3 linked regions of the Ovis aries genome follow. The protein of the gene in region 3 interacts with the protein of the main gene of each other region in a biochemical or structural test. Links are inferred from orthologs where the notes say so. Each region holds a gene or a part of one and is shown on either strand. Other genes may lie near its edges.

Region 1 (3,683 bases), on a different chromosome or scaffold from region 3:
TTGCACCTCAGTCTTCAGGATTTCACCCAAAGCCTTATTGAGTCTTTTTATAGTAAGTCAAGTGCCTACTTGTAGGTCACAAGGATAATAGAAAGGAAGATAGGTATAGGATTAACTGTTACAGGGATGAACATTAACAGCAAGATAAATGATAGGCTGGTAACCTAATAGCCAGGTCCAAGAAAGAACTAAGGCTACCAAACTGCATTATTGCCTGTTACAGTTAATAGTTTTCACAATGTTGGCCTTTATTTGTCAGGAAAATCCAAATCTATTCAATCATTAGCATAAAACCAGAAAGACCATATTACCAAGTTAGAGAATTCTGTTTTTATTTTGGCCTAATAATGAGAAGCCGTTTGGGGGATGAGAATGTTAGTTGCTTATAAGTATGTGGCTAGAAACAGTAGAATTTCTCTGCATATATCTTTGTATTTAACATCTTAATGTAAGAGCCTGTATTTTTCCTGTTTTGTTCTACTTCTTTAATACAGTGAAATTTAGTTTGCTGGCCTTTGTGGTTCAATAGAATTCTGCTGTCTTGGGGTCTATGCCTCTTTCGAAATGGCTGGAAGGAAGGTAATGGGTGTGAAATGAGATTGAAGAGGTTGGAGAGTAATCACATTGGTGATTTTAGGTGTACATCATTATCTTGGTGTGTCAGAGACCGAGCAAAACATTTTCCCGACATTCTGTAGTCCACTGTTACTATCTTTCAGGGTTTTACATATGTGGCTCCATCTGTACTTGAAAGCGTGAAAGAAAAGTTTTCCTTTGAACCAAAAATCCGATCCCCTCGAAGATTTATTGGCAGCCCACGAACACCTGTCAGGTATTCAGACTTTGTTATTATTTTTTAATCTAGAAGAAAGCACATTGTTTAAGAAATTTATGCCAAGTTACATAAATAGAAAATCTGTCATCCTGTTTGGTTGGTGTAAGCACAGCATCTCTACCTTCTTATATTGCAAGTCATCCGTTTGTGACTAATCAATGAGAAAATGCTATATAGTTTACCTTCCCTCCTGAAAGTAAGCTGCTGCACTGGAAAGTGTCCTCTTTAACCATTCATTCAACATTTATTATGCACCAGGGGTTGTGCTGTGTGCTAGGGACACATGGTTATGACAGGAATTGTCCTCGTCCTGAAGAAGCAACATGGGGGCTCCTATTCATGAAGGAGCTAGCCATACAGAACAGAGAGGCACGGGGGTGTTACAGGCAGAGGAAGTGCATGCGGAAGTCCTCAAGGAGGACAAACTTGGCTGCCTTCTTGGCCATGAAAGGGAGGTCAACATTCCTAAAGTGTGGTGAGTGAGGAAGAAAATGGCAAAGGTTTGGAGAAATATTTTATTTTAAATGCAATGAGAAGCTGTTTTAAGTAGGAGAGTAAAAAATGAATTTTTTTTTTAAAGTATCACTGATGGTTTTATGAGGGCAAGTGTGGAGGTTAAGAGACTAGTTAGGAAAGTAACAATTAGTCTAGGGGCGAGATGGCTCAACTTCTGCCTCTGTGCCAATCCATACAAAAAGGAAATTAATTGAAAAAAAATCACATTACCCCACTTGCTTTAAATGTAAGGGAAATGTTTCTTGTTGAGATAGTACTTGAGACAAATGATAGCTCTTCCTTGTCTTAAAGCCCAGTCAAATTTTCTCCTGGGGATTTCTGGGGAAGAGGTGCTTCAGCCAGCACGGCAAATCCGCAGACGCCTGTGGAATACCCCATGGAGACAAGTGGGATAGAGCAGATGGACGTGACAATGAGCGGGGAGGCTTCAGCACCGCTTCCAATACGACAGCCAAACTCCGGACCGTACAAAAAGCAAGCTTTTCCCATGATCTCCAAACGACCAGAGCACCTGCGTATGAATCTATGACAGAACAATGCTTTTAATGAATTGAAGGCAAAAAAGGTGGGGAGGGGATGTGTGAGCATCCTGCAGGGTGAAACAAGAAGACTCAAATGACAGTCTCGAAGAGTCAGTGTCATGACATAGAACACTTTGGACAGAAGAAAATTAAACATGGATTTTAAAAAATCAATCAATGGTGCAAAAAAACTTAAGTGAAAATAGCGGAACTCTTAGGCACATCAATTAATTGATTCCTAGCAACATCGTCTCAACCTATCAAGGATTTTCATGTTGATGGCTCGAAACTGACAGTATTAAGGGTAGGATGTTGCTTCTGAATCACTGTTGAGTCCTGATCATGTCGAAGAAGGGTTATCCTTCCATTAGGCAAAGTATGAATTTGCCTATAATACTTGCAACTAAGGACAAATTAGCATGCAAGCTTGGTTAAACTTTCCAGCAACATGGAATCAAAGATGAAAAAAAACTTATCAATTGATGTTTTACGTGCAAACAACCTGAATCTTTTTTTTATATAAATATATATTTTTCAAATAGATTTTTGATTCAGCTCATTATGAAAAACATCCCAAACTTTAAAAATGCAAAATTATTGGTTGGTGTGAAGAAAGCCAGACAACTTCTGTTTCTTCTCTTGGTGAAATAAAAATGCAAATGAATCATTGTTAACCACAGCTGTGGCTCGTTTGAGGGATTGGGGTGGACTTGGGGTTTATTTTCAGTAACCCAGCTGCAATACCTGTCTGTAATACTAGGAGAAAAAAAAAAAAGAATCTACTTAATCATTTCTATTTGCAGTACTGTTCTGTGCTAAGCTTAACTGGAAGCCTTGGAATGGGCATAAGTTGTATGTCCTTCATTTCATCCTTATCCTGGGCCTGCATTGCACTGGAAAAATACCGCCACTTTATACCAGTATTTAGTTCAAGACGTCAAACATGTTCAGCCCGTGGCTGAAGGACAGAAGCGAGTCAGGATAAAATGCGTATCGTGGGGCGGCAGAGAGGAGGAGAGGAGGGAAATCCAGGGGAAGAGGGTGTTGCCATGGTCCACTCTCTTGTGTCTAATGTCTTTACAGCAATTTGGTAAGGTTTTAAGTTTTACTTCTTTTTACTGATTTTGCTGTCTACCTTCCTTATATTTCTTCCTCAATGGTTTTAAAAGGAAAAAAGATTTTTTTCTCCTATATTGGGGCTACATTTTTTGCTTATAAAAATATTTGATGGCCTTTTGATGAATGTCTTCCACAGTGAATAAAACTTAGTGGCTTAATTTAGGAAACATGTTAACAAGACACTATGTTTTTGCAGTTGTAACAAAGTCTACATAAGTGATTCACAGATACAAAGAATAAAAATAAAGGTAACTTTACCTTTCTTAAATACTTCCTGCCTTAAGAGCATTTCCGTGACTGTAGATGGTGAAAGGGTTTAATATCTGCAGAGCTTTATAAAAATGTATTTCAGTGCATACTGGTATAATAGATGATCATGCAGTTGCAGTTGAGTCTTATCACCTCCTTTTGTTTGTCTTTTATAATGTCTTCAGTCTGAGTGCGCAAAGTCAATTTGTAATATTTTGCAACCCTACAATTTTTTTAAATAGATGCTGCTTGCTATGTTCTCCAGACCTTTTTGAGCCATAGGATCCAAGCCATAAAATTATTTATGCATGTTGAATTCAACCAGAAAAGAGACAAGCTTTGCTTAAACAGCAATTCAAGTGAGATAAGGTGAAATCCTATGACATTAAGCAAAAATAGAATCATGAAAAATGATTGGAAATACACCTTTTCAGTTGTGGCAA
Region 2 (3,683 bases), on a different chromosome or scaffold from region 3:
GGAGTTGGTGATGGACAGGGAGGCCTGGTGTGCTGCAATTCATGGGGTTGCAAAGAGTCAGACACGACTGAGCGACTGAACTGAACTGATTAGCCCCTTGCGGGGAGCAAAATAAAACTGGCAAACCAATCCTCCAGCTGGAAGAATTTAGAGAAGCCAAGTCTTCCCATCTCATAAAACTGATCACCGGGTACCTTCCAAGTCTGAGGCAGGGGAGTGCGAGGCCATCCCCGCCCACAAGGGGGCAGCAGGTGCCTGAAACTAGCAGCAGCCAAGGCCAGCCACAGCCGTGCTGGCCACCAGTTGGGGTGCGGAATCGCTAAGCTTACCGCTGATGTCCTTCTCCACCCAGGTGAAGGTGACTCCTCCTTCTTTGCTGCTTTCACTGAATCTCAACAGGAAGGTGCCTGGGGGCTTAGTGCTCAAGATGGCCCGTTCCCTCTCCTTGCTGATGAAGCCCATTATATACCTGGAGACAGAGAGGAGCAACAGCAAGGTTGGGGCTGAGGGACCTCTGGTATGCAGCCAGCCTGCTGGCAGAGTAGGGGACTTGTCACCCCTGTGTGTTCTGTCAGACACAAGAGTTCCAACCTACCCTTCGTTCCAAAGGGCCAGGATGTACTTTTTCACCAGGTCAATGATGTTGTCCAGCCAGACCCAGAAGGAGAAGCCCTTGCCAGCCATGTTTTCCTGGAGAAAAGAGTAATGGGAAAGCTCAGTTCCCCACCTCCCTGGGCTCTTCCTTTAAGGGGGTGAGGTGCCACCAAAATCCTCAAGCCCATCTACCCTCAGGCAGGTCCTCTTGGCCGCCAGACCAAGAGTCCGGGGCCTTCAGGCCCACTGCCCTCCACAACATCCCCACAGCTAAGTGTCCCTGCCCCCTCCTCCTCCTATGAGGCAGCCTCATGGATGGAGTTCACACGGTGGCTTACTTTGCAAAATTTAGCCCATGTGATCTGACACCCTGAATAGTTCACACCAGGTCCTGAAATTAAAAAAAAAAAAAAAAAGTCATAGGATTTGCAGTTTTAAATCCAGATCTTTCTTCAAATAGAACACACACACAACTGTCCCACAACATGCCCTGAAACTTGCTCTTCATGTATTTGAATGTTGCCACTGTTGCGTGCATACATATGCACCCCTCCCACACACCCAATCCCATCATTTGATGCCCCCTAAGTTGTTGTTCAGCAGAGGTGGTAGGTGATATATCAAGTCCTTGCTGCCCTTTCTAGCCTCGTGTGGCAGTCTGGGGATCAGCAGAACACACTAAGAAGCTGACAGCTTGAGTTACAGGGTCACGTTTAGTCATGCATGTTCAGGCGCTCAGTCATGTCTGACTGTAGCCCTACCAGGTTCCTTTCCATGGGATTTCCCAGGCAAGAATACTGGAGTGGGTTATCATTTCCTCCTCCAGGGGATCTTCCCGACCCAAGGGTCAAATCCAAGTCTCCTGCATTGGCAGGTGGATTCTTTACCATTGAGGCACCTGGGTAGCCCATGTTTAGTGGCAGCGCAGGACAAAGCACAGATGGCACGTAAAACATTCTAAGACTTTTTTCTTCCAGGAAAAAAAAATAAAAACAAGCTACATTTTCTTGAAGAAACAGACAGGGATGCCAAGCCTTTAGCTCTAACATACATTTAAAATACCTTCCTAAGGCTGGACAAAGTACCCAGGGAGACAGCCACCAACAGAAAAGAAATCTGCCTCCCGTCTCATAAAAGTGATCACCAGCCGCAAACCTCCGCTGCGACCTGACTCCAGGGCCTGCTGGAGCACACGTGCTCTGCCCAGCGCCTTGCTCAGTCAACTCTCCTCAATGAACAGCCCCACGAGCCAGATTCCTTTTACAAGGAGAGCAAAGGGAGGAGAGGTCAAGGGCTGACCTAAGAGCTTCTCCGCCAGCGTCGTCAACTGCTCGATGCTCAGCCCGCGCTTGGTGGTAGAGGAGAACTGCCAGCTCAGCACCTCGGCCACTTGATCCCACGTTCCGATCGGGGGTTTGGTGAAAAAGTTCACGTTCTATTGGAAATGACACATTCGCTCCTTTAGATGAAAGGGTGGCGCCTGCTGGGCGGCAGCCCCGAGGCACCAAGGAGCCTCCGGAGAACCCGGGCCCCCGACTCACCTTGGGGTTGTTGGTCAGCATGTTGTACCATAGGATGGACGCCCAGGCGTTGGGCATCTGACAGATGTTGGAGATCACCACCACTGGCAATGAGTGCGTCTGTGGAGGGAGCGGGCAATGATTTGGGGAGGCAGAGGGCCCTTGAGGCTCCAGAAACCTCTTCACCCGCATCTCGCAGGGTTCGAAATAAAAGGAGAGGTCGTGGAGTACACTTGCTGCCAGCCCTCAGGAAGCGGTGGGGCCCGGTCAGCTCGACACCCAGCGTGGAGAGTAGGCTGAACTCAGGGGCTGTCTGAGTATCACCAGGAATTTATAAAGCTGACTCCTCACAGTGGACTCACAGTCCACAGACTCCCCATTTATAAAACTTGGAAGGCATTCACGAATTGAAGCTGTGAAAAGAGTGCAAGTTGCTCAGTAGTGTCCAACTCTGCGACTCCATGGCCTATACAGTCCATGGAGTTCTCCAGGCCAGGATACTGGAGTGGGTAGCCTTTCCCTTCTCCAGGGGATCTTCCCAACCCAGGGGAATCGAACCCAAGTCTCCCACATTGCTGTACTGAAGCTGTATCTGCCCATTTAATAGAGAGGTCCCAGGAATCAAAGACTAGGGTTCTTGCTTTTTCAGGTGTATCTTTAATTTAAAGATCAAGAAAGTTGGGGAAAGAGCAGGTAAATGCCGCGATTGTTTGAAAGACTATTTTGCCCAAACTGTATAAAGTTGGCTATAATCAATTCCTAAATACAAGTTTTTACATCAAGTTTGCTGGAACCTGAGTAGACACGTATCTTCTAAGCACTCAGGCAAGATACTAACGAATTCTTGGAGAAAAAGAAGCAAATGTAAACACAGTGCTGAGTAAAGAGTCATCATTCCACCTTCTGGAGTGAAAACCCTGACTAGAAGCCTCATCCTGAACCATCCTGCAGGCAGTTCTACCCAGTTCTGTGCAGAACTCACCTCCAGGTCGATCTTGAGGCCTTGGTGATACACCTCAGTCTCAAAGGTGATCAGGTGCAGCTCCTCGGTCACAATCAGGGAGGCCTACAAGAATGAGAAGGATGCCTTTCCTCAGAGAGGATGGCATTGAGTCCTGGCAGCCTTCACTACACCGTCCTGAGGTGCAATCCGCCCGGTGGCCATGGATACAACTGGAGCACATGGTCTTGCCAACTCTCCGACTCGCCAGTGCTTTCATCTACAACCTGATCTCTTACCGGCTTTATGATGATACTATGGAGATCCGACTGCTCATGGATAAAATGGGAACAGCATAATGGCACAAGAGTGAACACCCCCAGTTTAAGGCAGAGACCATCACCACGGAGGTTCTCTCAGTGCCCTTCCCAACTCCATCCCTCCCTGAGCCTCCTACCTCAGAAGTGCTTGCTATTTTGTCTTTTGAGTTTGTCATTTCCTAGCCCTTCTTTATGGTTTTCTTGCATTTATATCTCTAAACAATGTATGTGTTGTTTAATTTGGGGGGGGGGTTGTGAATCTCATACATATGGAAGTATACCCTGTGCCTTCTTTTGTGACTCGCTTTT
Region 3 (3,683 bases):
TTGGGTGAGGTCCTTGACGTTCCCTGATTTCATGTACTTCCTGCACCATTCCTGGGCCTCCATTAAATCTCGACCATATGCCTGAGAGGGGAAGCAGGAGAATGAATAAGGTGTCACTTGTGTTGACTAAGCCCAACTCTGAGTCCCCAGCAGGCAGCAGAACTGCTCGGGAGGGTATGCTGGCCGGACGGCACTGGCTGGGTTGCTCGGCAGCTTTCCAGTCCTGGAGCCCAACCCTCAGGATGGCTTCTCAGGTAAAGTGAGGTTGGAAGAAAGACGAGATGGCCTTGTGAGGTACCTCGTGGTTTTCTAGTTAAAGTTTTGGAAGGGTTCTTGTAACTTCATGACAATTCTATTTCTGGTGTTTTATATCCTGTGACCTCCCTCCATTAAAATACATTTTATTCAAGTCAGCAGAAAGGTTAGAGGGAAAGGAGTCTGCTAAAGACTTTGGGGTCCCGTCAGTTCATGTCTTTTTTTATCCCATACCTGGTTAAATGATGTTTCCTTCAGTGTCTGGGGTCCCCGCTCCATCATGGCGTGCAGGGGCTCCAGCACCTCGAACATGCCTTTCACGTTCCTCTCCCCAAAGTACAAGCGAGATGCCTCTTCCAGGCCTTCATGCCACATCTCGTGCCAGAGGATGGCCACTCGGATCAGCTCCTCACTCACCTGGATCAGAAAGGGGATGGAGGGACGTGCTAAGGGTGAGCTAAGCTCAGAAAGGCCCATCTCGGAGAAACAGGAGGAACTCCTTCCGGCAGAGGGAGTACACGGCCTCGCCCTGAGGAAGGAAGGCCGTCTCACTCGAGACCTCTGCTTGGTGGCTCGAGCGTCTCATTCGAGACCTCTGCTTGGTGGCTCGAGTCTGCCTGGACTCACCATCATGGCCTGCTGCACCAGGGTGTTGCTGTGTTCGCACATGTTCTTCAGGATTTTGTTAGCTGCATTGTGCCGGGCCGTGGTGGTGGACTTGGAGGCCACTGTCAGCGGGTAGATGAGGGCCTGAAGCAAGCACAGAAGGAGCGTTTGCAAATGTGTAAAAGGAGGATGACAAGAGTATGGTGCTGACACTCATCCAAGTCTACCAGGCAGGGGCTGTGTGGCCTTGGGCGGAATTTTTTCTTTCCCAGAAGACCCTGGGTCCCTGAGCCTGTCAGCTGGGCAGACGCTCCTGGGGGCAGGACAGGACTCTTGGCTCCCAGGGGCATTTGCGTCCCTAGAGCGGTTTAGGAAAGGTTGATGGCCAAATCAAAGGTCAGTGGTTAGACGGAAAAGTGCCCGGGGACTCCACGCACCTGGGGGTGGTACCGACCAATGTCTGTGAGAAGCTGGTGGATAAGACGTCCCACCAGGGGCCTCGGCGTATCAATTCTTGCAATGAGCTGAGGTATAACCTGATATTCAGAAAGACACAGTATGCAGCCTATGAGATGTGGAAACAACTCCAGTTATTCTTCTGAGCCATGAACAGCTCTTGCAACTGGTTTGATAGATACTGCTGGGCATGGAAATGGTTTATCCTTTTCAGTTCTCTAAAGGAATTGAAGAAAATGTGGAGTCTTGACCTTGGGGGTGGATCGCTGCTTCCTTACCATTGTATAGTGCGTGCTCCTCTCAACACTGCATGATTCTAAGAGAGACAACGAGCAAGACCTGACCCATCCTCACCAGTAACCCAGTGCCCTCACCTGAAATCCACCTGTCCCCCCCTGGAACTCAGTGCCCTCACCTGTAACCCAGTGCCCTCACCTGAAATCCACCTGTCCCCACTTGTAACCCAGTGCACTCACCTATAACCCAGTGCCCTCACCTGTAACCCAGTGTCCTCACCTATAACCTAGTGCCCTCACTTGAAATCCACCTGTCGCAACCTGTAACTCAGTGCTCTCACCTGTAACCCTGTGTCCTCACTTGTAACCTGGTGCCCTCACCTGTAACCCAATGCCCTCACCTGAAATCCACCTGTCCCCACCTGTAACCCAGTGCCCTCACCTGAAATCTACCTGTCCTCACCTGTAACCCAGTGCCCCACCTGTAACCCAGTGCCCTCACCTGTAACCCAGTGCCCCACCTGTAACCCAGTGCCCTCACTTGTAACCCAATGTCCTCACCTGTAACCCAGTGCCCTCACCTGAAATCTACCTGTCCTCACCTGTAACCCAGTGCCCCACCTGTAACCCAGTGCCCTCACCTGTAACCCAGTGCTTTCACCTGTAACCCAGTGCCCTCACCTGTAACCCAGTATCCTCACCTATAACCCAGTGCCTTCACCTGAAATCCACCTGTCCTCACCTATAACCCAGTGCCCCACTTGTAACCCAGTGCCCTCACCTGCAACCCAGTGCCCTCACTTGTAACCCAGTGCTCTCACCTGTAACCCAGTGCCCTCACTTGTAACCCAGTGTCCTCACCTGAAATCTACCTATCCCCACCTGTAACCTAGTGTCCTCACCTATAACCCAGTGCCTTCACCTGAAATCCACCTGTCCTCACCTATAACCCAGTGCCCCACTTGTAACCCAGTGCCCTCACCTGCAACCCAGTGCCCTCACTTGTAACCCAGTGTCCTCACCTGAAATCTACCTATCCCCACCTGTAACCTAGTGTCCTCACCTGAAATCCACCTGTCCTCACCTGTAACCCAGTGCCCTCACCTGTAACCCAGTGTCCTCACCTAAAATCCACCTGTCCTCACCTGTAACCCAGTGTTCTCACCTGTAACCCAGTGCCCTCACCTGTAACCCTGTGTCCTCAGCTGTAACCCAGTGCCCTCACCTGAAATCCACCTGTCCCCACCTGTAACCCAGTGCTCTCACCTGTAACCCAGTGCTCTCACCTGAAATCCACCTGTCCCCACCTGTAACCCAGTGTCCTCACCTGAAATCCACCTGTCCTCACCTGTAACCCAGTGCCCTCACCTGTAACCCAGTGCTCTCACCTGTAACTCAGTGCTCTCACCTGAAATCCACCTGTCCCCACCTGTAACCCAGTGTCCTCACCTGAAATCCACCTGTCCCCCCCTGTAATCCAGTGCCCTCACCTGTAACCCAGTGCTCTCACCTGAAATCCACCTGTCCCCACCTGTAACCTGGTGTCACCTGAAATCCACCTGTCCTCACCTGAAATCCACCTGTCCTCACCTGTAACCCAGTGCTCTCACCTGTAACTCAGTGCTCTCACCTGAAATCCACCTGTCCCCACCTGTACCCCAGTGTCCTCACCTGAAATCTACCTGCCCTCACCTGTAACCCAATGTCCTCACCTGTAACCCAGTGCCCTTACCTGTAACCAAGTGTCAATCTGGATTGCTTTCACCCCTTCCACTAAGGCTTCATTTACATCTGGCCAGTGACCATAATCAAACCATAAGGTGAGAACTCTGGAAAAGAAAAAGGAAAATCTTAGAAACTTTAATTTGCCAGGTTTTGCCTGTTTTCTCATCTTTGAGACTCTTGAAGAGAAGTGCTGGCGGGGTCCCAGAGCAGTGGCTCCAGTGTTCTTGGTCTTGGGAGCACTTAGGAGTGGGGTGGTGGTGGTGGCTGGCAGTGCCTGACTGGACACAGACCATCCCCAGGGAATGCCTTGCCACTCTAGACAACAGGGAGGGATCACCATGCCACCAGCTCATACATCTAAGAGATGAGTCCATGGATAAGCTTTGCATGTGTAGGAAGAGTTGC

Evidence for each region.
Region 1: of the proteins of MTOR (region 3) and RPS6KB1, one has a biochemical effect on the other in vitro, tested with the Homo sapiens proteins (18 studies listed by BioGRID and IntAct, with this or other methods). The link is inferred for Ovis aries from reciprocal best matches to the Homo sapiens genes MTOR and RPS6KB1.
Region 2: the proteins of MTOR (region 3) and STAT3 form a complex in vitro, tested with the Homo sapiens proteins (2 studies listed by BioGRID, with this or other methods). The link is inferred for Ovis aries from reciprocal best matches to the Homo sapiens genes MTOR and STAT3.

The regions. Positions count from the first base shown.
Region 1 is NC_056064.1:10,567,520-10,571,202, forward strand, and holds part of RPS6KB1 (ribosomal protein S6 kinase beta-1), read left to right. Parts: intron 1-719; coding exon 720-832; intron 833-1,642; coding exon 1,643-1,880; 3' UTR 1,881-3,187; coding exon of another isoform or gene 3,188-3,311; 3' UTR 3,312-3,683. UniProt on the Homo sapiens protein: Serine/threonine-protein kinase that acts downstream of mTOR signaling in response to growth factors and nutrients to promote cell proliferation, cell growth and cell cycle progression.
Region 2 is NC_056064.1:42,156,900-42,160,582, forward strand, and holds part of STAT3 (signal transducer and activator of transcription 3), read right to left. Parts: intron 3,181-3,683; coding exon 3,097-3,180; intron 2,235-3,096; coding exon 2,136-2,234; intron 2,030-2,135; coding exon 1,894-2,029; intron 986-1,893; coding exon 933-985; intron 691-932; coding exon 596-690; intron 470-595; coding exon 330-469; intron 33-329; coding exon 1-32. UniProt on the Homo sapiens protein: Signal transducer and transcription activator that mediates cellular responses to interleukins, KITLG/SCF, LEP and other growth factors. Once activated, recruits coactivators, such as NCOA1 or MED1, to the promoter region of the target gene.
Region 3 is NC_056065.1:41,762,836-41,766,518, reverse strand, and holds part of MTOR (serine/threonine-protein kinase mTOR), read right to left. Parts: intron 3,383-3,683; coding exon 3,286-3,382; intron 1,398-3,285; coding exon 1,299-1,397; intron 1,006-1,298; coding exon 883-1,005; intron 673-882; coding exon 490-672; intron 82-489; coding exon 1-81. UniProt on the Homo sapiens protein: Serine/threonine protein kinase which is a central regulator of cellular metabolism, growth and survival in response to hormones, growth factors, nutrients, energy and stress signals.